Linked DNA regions of Canis lupus familiaris. Each later gene encodes a partner of the first gene's protein in a complex. Links are inferred from orthologs where the notes say so. Each region holds a gene or a part of one and is shown on either strand. Other genes may lie near its edges.

The links. Proteins that work in one complex are often made in the same cells at the same time.
Region 2: the proteins of CCNT1 (region 1) and CDK9 are in contact, whole or in part, in a crystal structure (PDB 3BLH), measured with the Homo sapiens proteins. The link is inferred for Canis lupus familiaris from reciprocal best matches to the Homo sapiens genes CCNT1 and CDK9. Residues at the interface, in NP_001231.2 of Homo sapiens: Arg5, Lys6, Arg11, Trp12, Arg26, Ile72, Gln73, Phe78, Phe89, Leu90, Lys93, Val94, Pro98, Lys99, Lys100, Leu101, Val134, Glu137, Ile139, Leu141, Gln142, Thr143, Gly145, Phe146, Glu147, Leu148, Thr149; in NP_001252.1 of Homo sapiens: Val8, Glu9, Cys10, Pro11, Phe12, Cys13, Lys56, Glu57, Gly58, Phe59, Ile61, Leu64, Ile67, Lys68, Gln71, Leu72, Leu81, Ile82, Glu83, Ile84, Arg86, Ile99.

Annotation. Positions count from the first base shown.
Region 1 is NC_049248.1:40,858,496-40,862,977, reverse strand, and holds the start of CCNT1 (cyclin-T1), read left to right. Parts: upstream 1-1,527; 5' UTR 1,528-1,907; coding exon 1,908-2,068; intron 2,069-4,213; coding exon 4,214-4,295; intron 4,296-4,482. UniProt on the Homo sapiens protein: Regulatory subunit of the cyclin-dependent kinase pair (CDK9/cyclin-T1) complex, also called positive transcription elongation factor B (P-TEFb), which facilitates the transition from abortive to productive elongation by phosphorylating the CTD (C-terminal domain) of the large subunit of RNA polymerase II (RNA Pol II).
Region 2 is NC_049230.1:55,704,457-55,708,558, reverse strand, and holds the start of CDK9 (cyclin-dependent kinase 9), read left to right. Parts: upstream 1-1,302; 5' UTR 1,303-1,370; coding exon 1,371-1,462; intron 1,463-1,921; coding exon 1,922-2,003; intron 2,004-2,804; coding exon 2,805-2,895; intron 2,896-3,241; coding exon 3,242-3,408; intron 3,409-3,530; coding exon 3,531-3,702; intron 3,703-3,859; coding exon 3,860-4,008; intron 4,009-4,102. UniProt on the Homo sapiens protein: Protein kinase involved in the regulation of transcription.

The DNA of each region.
Region 1 (4,482 bases):
TGACAAAACTCAAAATATTATAAGAGATAAAAAAATTCTAATACTCTCCCAATTTAATCAAAGTAAACGGTTTCAGAAACGCAAGAATGAAGTCTGTTAAAATGGAAAGAACAATGGAATTAGACTTGATTTAAACACCTACACTTCATAGCAGTGTAGTGTAGGGCAAACTTCTTAATCTCCCCGAGCCCTAAATTTCTTCATTGTAGGGTGCATTTATGTGACATGTACTGACTACCAGGGCCGGGACTGTACTAGGTAGGTGCTATGGATACAACTCACTTTTCATATAACAACAAATACTATGATGACATCTACTGAATGTCAATAGATTTCCTATGTGCCAAGTACTATTATAAAGCCTTTCAACTGGGCAGCCCGAGTGGCTCAGCGGTTTAGCGCCGCTTTCAGCCCAGGGCCTGATCCTGGAGTCCTGGGATCGAGTCCCATGTTGGGCTCCCTGCATGGGGCCTGCTTCTCCCTCTGCCTGTGTCTCTGCCTCTCTCTCTCTCTGTGTCTCTCATGAATAAATAAATAATATATTAAAAAAATAAAGCCTTTCAACTAATTCCATCTTCATTTAATCCTTCTCAACCTAAAACGTAGGTACTGTTGTTGTCATTTACATTTATACAAGAGGTACAAAGAGGTTAAGATATCTAGGCCAGGATCAAACACGCGTTAGGCGTTCAGCGGGGATGTTTCTTGGCGGGGGACAATTCTTACGTGTGCAAGGTGGAGGTGGAAGCTTTCCACAACGAAGGGCCAGTTTTAGTTCACTCGTCCACAGAACAGGGACTGAAATAGTACTACTACCTCTCGGGGTTTGGGCCTGCTATTTATTTATTTGATTTGATTTTTATTTATTTACCTCTTGGGGTTTGGGCCTGCTATTTATTTATTTATTTATTTATTTATTTATTTATTAGATTTTTATTTATTTACCTCTTGGGGTTTGGGCCTATTTATTTATTTATTAGATTTTTATTTATTTACTCATGAGAGACACAGAGGGAGAAGCAGGCTCCCTCCGGGGAGCCCCATGCAGGACTCGATCCCGGGACCCCGGGGTCACAACCTGAGCTAAAGGCAGATGCTCAACCCCGGAGCCACCCAGGTTCCCCGGGGTTGGGCCGCCTTTTAAATGAAAATAGTATATTTAAGAGTAAACAGTGTGTCTGGAGCATGGGAATCCGTAAATCAATACTATTAATTAAATTTGCATTCCGTTATGTGGTATCACTATGGCGAAGCACAGGCAATTCTTTTCAAAGCTCTAGATAATGCTGCAAAGCGCCTTCGCAAAGTTTACACCGCTACCAAGAACCGAAGAGCTTTCTACCTGCTTTCTCTTACGATATATACGGTAGGGCCACTCTCTTTGATTACTCTGTCCAGTTTTGGACAATCTCACCTGTTCCCTCTGTCAAGCTCGCTATCCTCCCCCATTTTACGTCGCCACCTCCGTCACAAACGAAGTTCTCCGAGGAACCGCCGAGGGGCGCGTGGGCGGGCGCCTCCTCCCGCCACAACAGTTGCCTGGCCACCTCGTCCACCACGCGACGACTCAGCGCAGCTCTCGCGGGAGGAGACGCGGTTTCCAACGAGACCTTCTAACCCCACCCAACCCTCTAAGGGTCACGTGACTGGCGCCTGCGTCCTCGACTCGAGGTCTTTCCTGGTCTCCTACTGGCTGTTAACTCGGCTACAGGCCGTCGCGAGGCCCATTCCGGAAGTAGCCCCTTTATCTAGCATTCTTTTGCGGAAGCCTGTTACAACCCAGCCGGCCACCTTTCAGCGGAAGTTCGTCACGTCGCAGTTGCCCCCGCACAGCGGATGTGTGTCGCCGCTTAGGTGACGCTGGGAAGTGCTTGCAGCCTCCGCCGCTGCCTTCTGGTTGAAGCACTATGGAGGGAGAGAGGAAGAACAACAACAAACGGTGGTATTTTAGTCGAGAACAGCTGGAAAATAGCCCATCCCGTCGTTTTGGCCTGGACCCAGATAAAGAACTTTCTTATCGCCAGCAGGCGGCCAATCTGCTCCAGGACATGGGACAACGTCTTAACGTGTATCCTTGCGGCCTAGGCCTCCGGCCTTGGAGTCAGACCCGCCTTGCTCGGGCGTCCGGGCTCCAGGCTCTGTCAGAGACGGTAGAGGAAAGAGGGGGGACGGGGGCTGAATGTCTGGGTGGAGGAGCCCACGGTGGGGCGGGCTGAAAGTCAGTGTTTGCGCCCGAGAAGCGAGGCGGAGTTAATTTCCCGCTCGCTCACCAGGGCCACCAGCCTTGCTGGGAACTCGTATCCTTCGCAGCTTTGTATTTGAACCAGCCCTTCGTAGTTTCCTTTCGTTGTGTTCTGTTCTCTTAGTCTGGTGACTTAAGAGATTTTACTTTCCCGCTATGCCCTAGGGGTTTGGAGGAGGTTTCGCTGTGGATGGCCGCCTCTTGAACTTTAGTGTGTAAAGAGAGTTTGAGAAATTCAAGACCTGGAAAGTCTTCGAAAGACAGAGGGTGGCCCAGAACTAACGCCCCAGCTTTGATTCAAAATCCGTTCCTTCCGCTTAGGAACTGTTTAAGAAACCTGTCGAATTCTTGGTTTTCTCGTCTGTAAAATGGAGTCCTGCCCCCTTGCATCTAGTTTTTAATGCCTAACAAAATGTGTGGCACTCGTGTTCAAACGGTAGTTATTGTTAAAGTTTTAGAATTTCAGAGGAAGGAAGGATGTCAGTTTCTATTTGTAAGGATATAGACCCAGGGATCTAATGTTTTAAAAGACCATTTACAGAATGTGGAGTTTTTAATGTACTCAGTTCTAATGTGTATTTGTTTTTTTTTAATATTCCAAAGATCAAGTTATTAATTTATTTTTAAAGATTTTATTTATTTATTCATGAGACACACACACAGAGGCAGACACACAGGCAGAGGGAGAAGCAGGCTCCATGCAGGGAGCCCGATGCGGGACTCGATCCCGGGTCCCCAGGATCACACCCCGGGCCGAAGGCGGCGCTAAACCGCTGAGCCACCCCGGGCTGCCCAAGATCAAGTAATTTAGTGATTTTTTTTTCCCCCCTCAAGTATTTTTGTCAGAAAATATACTCATTTCCTAGCAGAGAAAGCTTATGTAGTTATAAACTTCTTTGCGCTCGGGAAGTGGGGAATTATTTCTGAGTGCAGCTTCTGTTTAAGTGTGTCGCTGGCTGTAATGTTTGTTGTGTCTTAAAGTGTTTGCTCGCTTCAAAAGAAGTGTTCTCTTTATTGTGGATATCCAGTTTGTTTCCTAAGCATCCGGTTAGTACTGAGTTGAGCTTTTGTTTGAAATTGTTTCAGTATGTCTAGCCCTTTTTTCTGTGTGTGTTATTAAGGTTGTTGACATCTTGGGACCACGGCCTCTTCTGATAACCCGCGTTCTCTTCTGAGGTTTTTAGAAGTAAGACATTTAAAATTTTTTCTTGTTAGTGAATGAGTATATCAAATCTTTCCGCAGTGTTCCTGTTCCCAGGGATCACCGAATGGGAAGGCTTAGTCTCCACAGACAAGTGGGACTGAAAAAGCTCATTTCTGGACCTTAGAAAGTGAGGATATAGTGGAGACATACCTAGGAGCTGGATTAGGGAGGGCATTGTAAGTCATGTGAAGAGATACCCTGAGCTAATGGATCACCACTGCAGGACTTTCAGGAGGCAAATGACAGGTTTAGGTCTACATAATTTTCTTATATTCCTTGATCCACACGTGTTAAGAAGCTTGCTTATCAATTCAGATTTACATATTGAAAACTGGTTGTGTGTAGGGCATTATATTGTGTCAATTGGTGTTTAATAATTGATGAAAGAAAACAGATTTGCTCTTTAATTTGGAAAATTAAGTATGATTTTCATTTAGAAGCACATACTGGGGCAGCCCGGGTGGCTCGGCGGTTTAGCGCCGCCTTCAGCCCAGGGCCTGATCCTGGAGACCCCGGATCGAGTCCTACGTCGGGCTGGAGTCCAACGTCGGGCTCCTTGCATGGAGCCTGCTTCTCCCTTTGCCTGTGTCTCTGCCCCCCCCCCCCCCCCCCCCCCGTCTCATGAATAAATAAATAAAATCTTAAAAAACAAAAAAAGGAAGCACATACTATGTTTGTCTTGCTTGGTCCTTTTGGGAGGATAGGGAGGTTATATATTTGGGGGTTGTACTGCTGTCTGTTTTGGAGCCTTAACTTTAGGATTTTAGCTCACAATTGACTATCAACACTGCTATAGTATACATGCATCGATTCTACATGATTCAGTCCTTTACACAGTTCCATCGAAACGTAAGTATTTTTTTGTATGGTATAATCTTTTTGTAATCAATTGCAACAACTTGTGTGTGTGTGGGGGTGGGGTGGTGAGGGTGGAGTTGATCTTTGTTGCTGAACTGGGATTTGAAGTTTAGAATTTAGGATTGATCACTTTCATTATGTGTCACACTGGATCCAGTTTTCCTGTAAACTGTCCAGG
Region 2 (4,102 bases), on another chromosome or scaffold:
TCACAGCGCTGTCACTCTGTGACCTTGGGCAAATGACCTCACCACTCTGAACCTCAATGCCCTCTTCTGTAAAATGGGCTAGTTAACCTGCCCATGGGGCGCCTGATTGAGGATTCAGCAGGATTCAGCAGGAATGCCCAGCGATTCCTGAACACACAGGAGTTCTGAGCAAATGCTAGCCATTTTTGTGATTACTGACCCGGGACTGACCCGCTCGGACGCAGCTGGGTGGGCATAGGGCTCCCGCGGGTCTCATCCCTTCCTCCCAGAAAATTGGGGGTCCAGGGCAGGAAGGCCCGGGCGTTGCTCGCTCGCCGTCTCCAGTGTCGCCGCGCCCCCTAGCGGCCGTCGGTTGCCATGTCAACGGCGGGCGGCTGGGGCCTGGGGAGGCGGCGGCGGGGGCCGTTCTCTCCTCCCAGGACCGGAGGCCGCTCCCTCGGCGCCTCCCGCCTTTCCCAGCGGAGGGGCACTCCGAGCCGGGGAGAGGGCTCTCCGCGGCAGCTAGCATGGGGGGGTAAACTGAGGCACGCGACAAAGCGCTCCGCAGCCAGGTGTCGAGCTCGGGGCCCCACCTCCGAAGGCGGAGGAGGGGCCGCGGGCGGTGACGCGCCGAGGGCGGCCGGCGGACAGCGGGCGGCGGCGGCGGCGGCGGCGGCGGCGGCGGCGGCGGCGGCGGCAGGTGCGGCCGCGGAGGGTGGGAGGGAGGAGGGAGGGGGGCGGGCGGAGGGGGAGGGGAGGGCGAGGCCAGGGCACCTCCCCCTTTATAACGCGCCCCCTCCCGGGCTCTCGGGCCACCTCCTCGTCGGCTCTTCCCATCTCGCCCCCTTGCCCGGCCGCCCCGGGCCCGGGCCCGGCCAGGGAGACCCCAGGCCGCGGCTCGGGGGCCACCCCCCCGCTCGCCGCCCCGCGCAGCCCGGCGGAGGCGGCGCCGTCGGAGGAGGAGGAGCAGGGCACTGCGGCTGGCCCCGGATCGGGCGCCAGAGCGGCAGCGGCTCCGGCAGCAGCGGCGGCCCGGGCCGATGCAGCGGGACGCACCGCCCCGAGCCCCAGCCCCGGCGCCCCGGCTCCCCGCGCCCCCGATCGGGGCAGCCGCCAACAGTGGCGGCGGCGGAGGCGGGGGCAGCGGCGGCGGCGGAGGCGCCTCTGCAGCTCCGGCTGCTCCTGGCCTCCCGGGAACTACAAGTCCCAGGGGGCCTGGCGGCGGGCGGCGGACGGAAGAGGCGGGGTCGGCGCCGCGAGGCCGGAAGTGGCCGTGGAGGCGGAAGTGGCGCGGCCGCGGAGGGGCCTGGAGCACGGCGGCGGGACCCGGAGCGGGAGCAGCGGCGGCGGCGGCGGCTGGGGGCGGCGGCGGCGGCGCGCTGGAGGCGGCCATGGCAAAGCAGTACGACTCGGTGGAGTGTCCCTTTTGTGATGAGGTGTCCAAATATGAGAAGCTCGCTAAGATCGGCCAAGGCACCTTCGGGTAAGGCTGCGCCCCCGGGGGACCAGGCGCTCTGGGCCTGCACCGCTCAAATCCGACGTCACGATGCCCAGGGCCGGGCCCGAGGTGGTCGGGAAGGCCATGAGCGCCAGACGTGTCCCCTGGTTTTGCTAGGCCGCGCTGCGGCCCGCCTGGGCCTGACCGAGCCGGCTGGCGGGGAGGAGCCTGAGGCCTGTGATGGGGGGCGGGGAGGGGTTACGGAGAGGAGCCAGTGGTGGGAGCGGGCTCTCCGAGAGACGCCTGAGTGAGGAGACTGAGGGGAGGAAGTAGAGGCTCGAAGCTCCGCAGATAGCGGGTGGCAAGGTAGGGCAGTGCCCTGGGTCCCCGGCCCAGCCCCGCCCGGGGAATCCCTTTTTTCTGCCCCCCTCCTCTGGTGGGGGAGGGGCGGGCCCTGCAGAAACGGCCTGATAAAACCTCTTGGGTCTCCCTCTCGGCCTGCAGGGAGGTATTTAAGGCAAAGCACCGTAAGACCGGCAAAAAGGTGGCTCTGAAGAAAGTGCTGATGGAGAACGAGAAGGAGGGGGTGAGTATGGGCCGGGTGGGCGGGCCTGCCAGCTCCCCTGGGCTCGGGGTTGGGTTTCCACCCTGCTTCTGCTAGGGCTCTCGTCTGGAGAACCTGTGTGTCTGTGTGTTGGGGGGGGGGGGGTAGTTAGGCAATTTCCGTATTCGGGGAATTTGGCTTCCAAATTGAATTTTTTAATTCAAATGTTTTAGAGCTTTTGATATCCCACTCTTAGGTAAATACGGTTGGGGCCAGGAGGGGGAGCTCATGCCTGCAGAGTGTGCCTTAGTTCCTGAAGTTAGGAAGCCTTTAAACACGGTTTCCTTAGCATTCATTTTGCATAAGGCGGAAAGAAATTCCACTTGGTGGTTTTAAGGGAGTGGCTGGTACTCAGTTGAAAAGGAGCAGTCCCCTCCCTTGCCTCATTGTAGCCCTAGTCCAGCTTCCCAGAGACCTGCTTAGCAAGGACATTTCCTTAAATAGCTGTTTGTTTCCACCTAGTAAGTTAAATACAGGTATAGAGCTAAAACTTAAATATTGAAGAAACTGTGGAACATTTATTTAGTGACGAGTAGTGAAGTGTGTAGGTATTAAGTCCCACTGTTTCAGTTCATTGTCTCAGAGCAACTCATTGAGGGGCACATACTATTTTTACACCCATTTTACAGCTAAGACATCTGAAATGATGTCAGAGCCCGGGACCTTACTCGTTTGCTGCACCTGTGCCCCTTGATCTGGACCACACGGTTGTTCATTGGTCTGTTCATTGGTCTATAGTTGACTCGCTCACCTCAGGCCCCCTCTTGCCTTTCTCCTACCCAGTTCCCCATTACGGCTTTGCGGGAAATCAAGATCCTCCAGCTTCTGAAACACGAGAATGTGGTCAACTTAATTGAGATCTGTCGAACCAAAGGTAGGTTCTTTGGCTCCTGCCCCCCTTTACAGATGGGGAAAATGAGGCTTACTGCCTAAGGCTTTGCAAAGTTGGAAGTGGACACACCTAAATTGCCTCTTCTTAACCCAGACAAACCGACTGTGACTGCTCTTGGGTCCTTCCATCGTAGCTGTTGCTCCTCGAGGGCCTGCCACAGCACCCAGCCCAGAGGAGGCACTCAGGAAATAGTTTTCCAGTGAAGGAAGGCACAGCCGAATATCCCAGTGTCCACGGGCTGGAGGGGTAGAAGCTGTGTGGGGAAATGAGTTGCACGTGGGGTTTTTTACTTTCTTTTTCTTACTCCTCCCCCATTCTTCCCTCCCAGCTTCCCCCTATAACCGCTGCAAAGGCAGTATATACCTAGTGTTTGACTTCTGCGAGCACGATCTTGCTGGGCTGCTGAGCAATGTCTTGGTCAAGTTCACACTGTCTGAGATCAAGAAGGTCATGCAGATGTTGCTCAACGGCCTCTACTATATCCACAGAAACAAGGTGGGGGTCAGCATGGGGTAAGAGAGACCCGGGCTGGGGTGGGCCTCGGCTCCCACCGCTGGGTGGGTGCGACTGAGGGTTCCCCTTGGAAACCTGATTGAGCCCTCTTGCGCTTCCTGCAGATCCTGCACAGGGACATGAAGGCAGCTAATGTGCTCATCACTCGCGATGGGGTTCTGAAGCTGGCCGACTTTGGGCTGGCCCGGGCCTTCAGCCTGGCCAAGAACAGCCAGCCCAATCGCTATACCAACCGTGTGGTGACGCTCTGGTACCGGCCTCCGGAGCTGTTGCTCGGTGAGGACTCCCGAGCGGGCGGAGTGGGGCAGGGGCTGGGCACTTACCCGGCCTCAGTCCCCCACTGCCAGGGCTTCTTGAGCCGCCGGCCCTGGGGCATTGCGTCTCAGGAGGCCCTCGGGCTCAAGGGGCCCTCCTGGTGCGCTCTTCTTCCCAGGGGAGCGGGACTACGGCCCCCCCATTGACCTGTGGGGTGCTGGGTGCATCATGGCCGAGATGTGGACCCGCAGCCCTATCATGCAGGGCAACACCGAGCAACACCAGCTTGCCCTCATCAGCCAGCTCTGTGGCTCCATCACCCCTGAGGTGCGTGGCCAGGCTGCCTGGGCCCCTGGTCCCCACAGGACGCAGAGATCCAGAAGTCCTCCTGGCAAGGGAGGAGTGGGGAGTGAAATAGCAG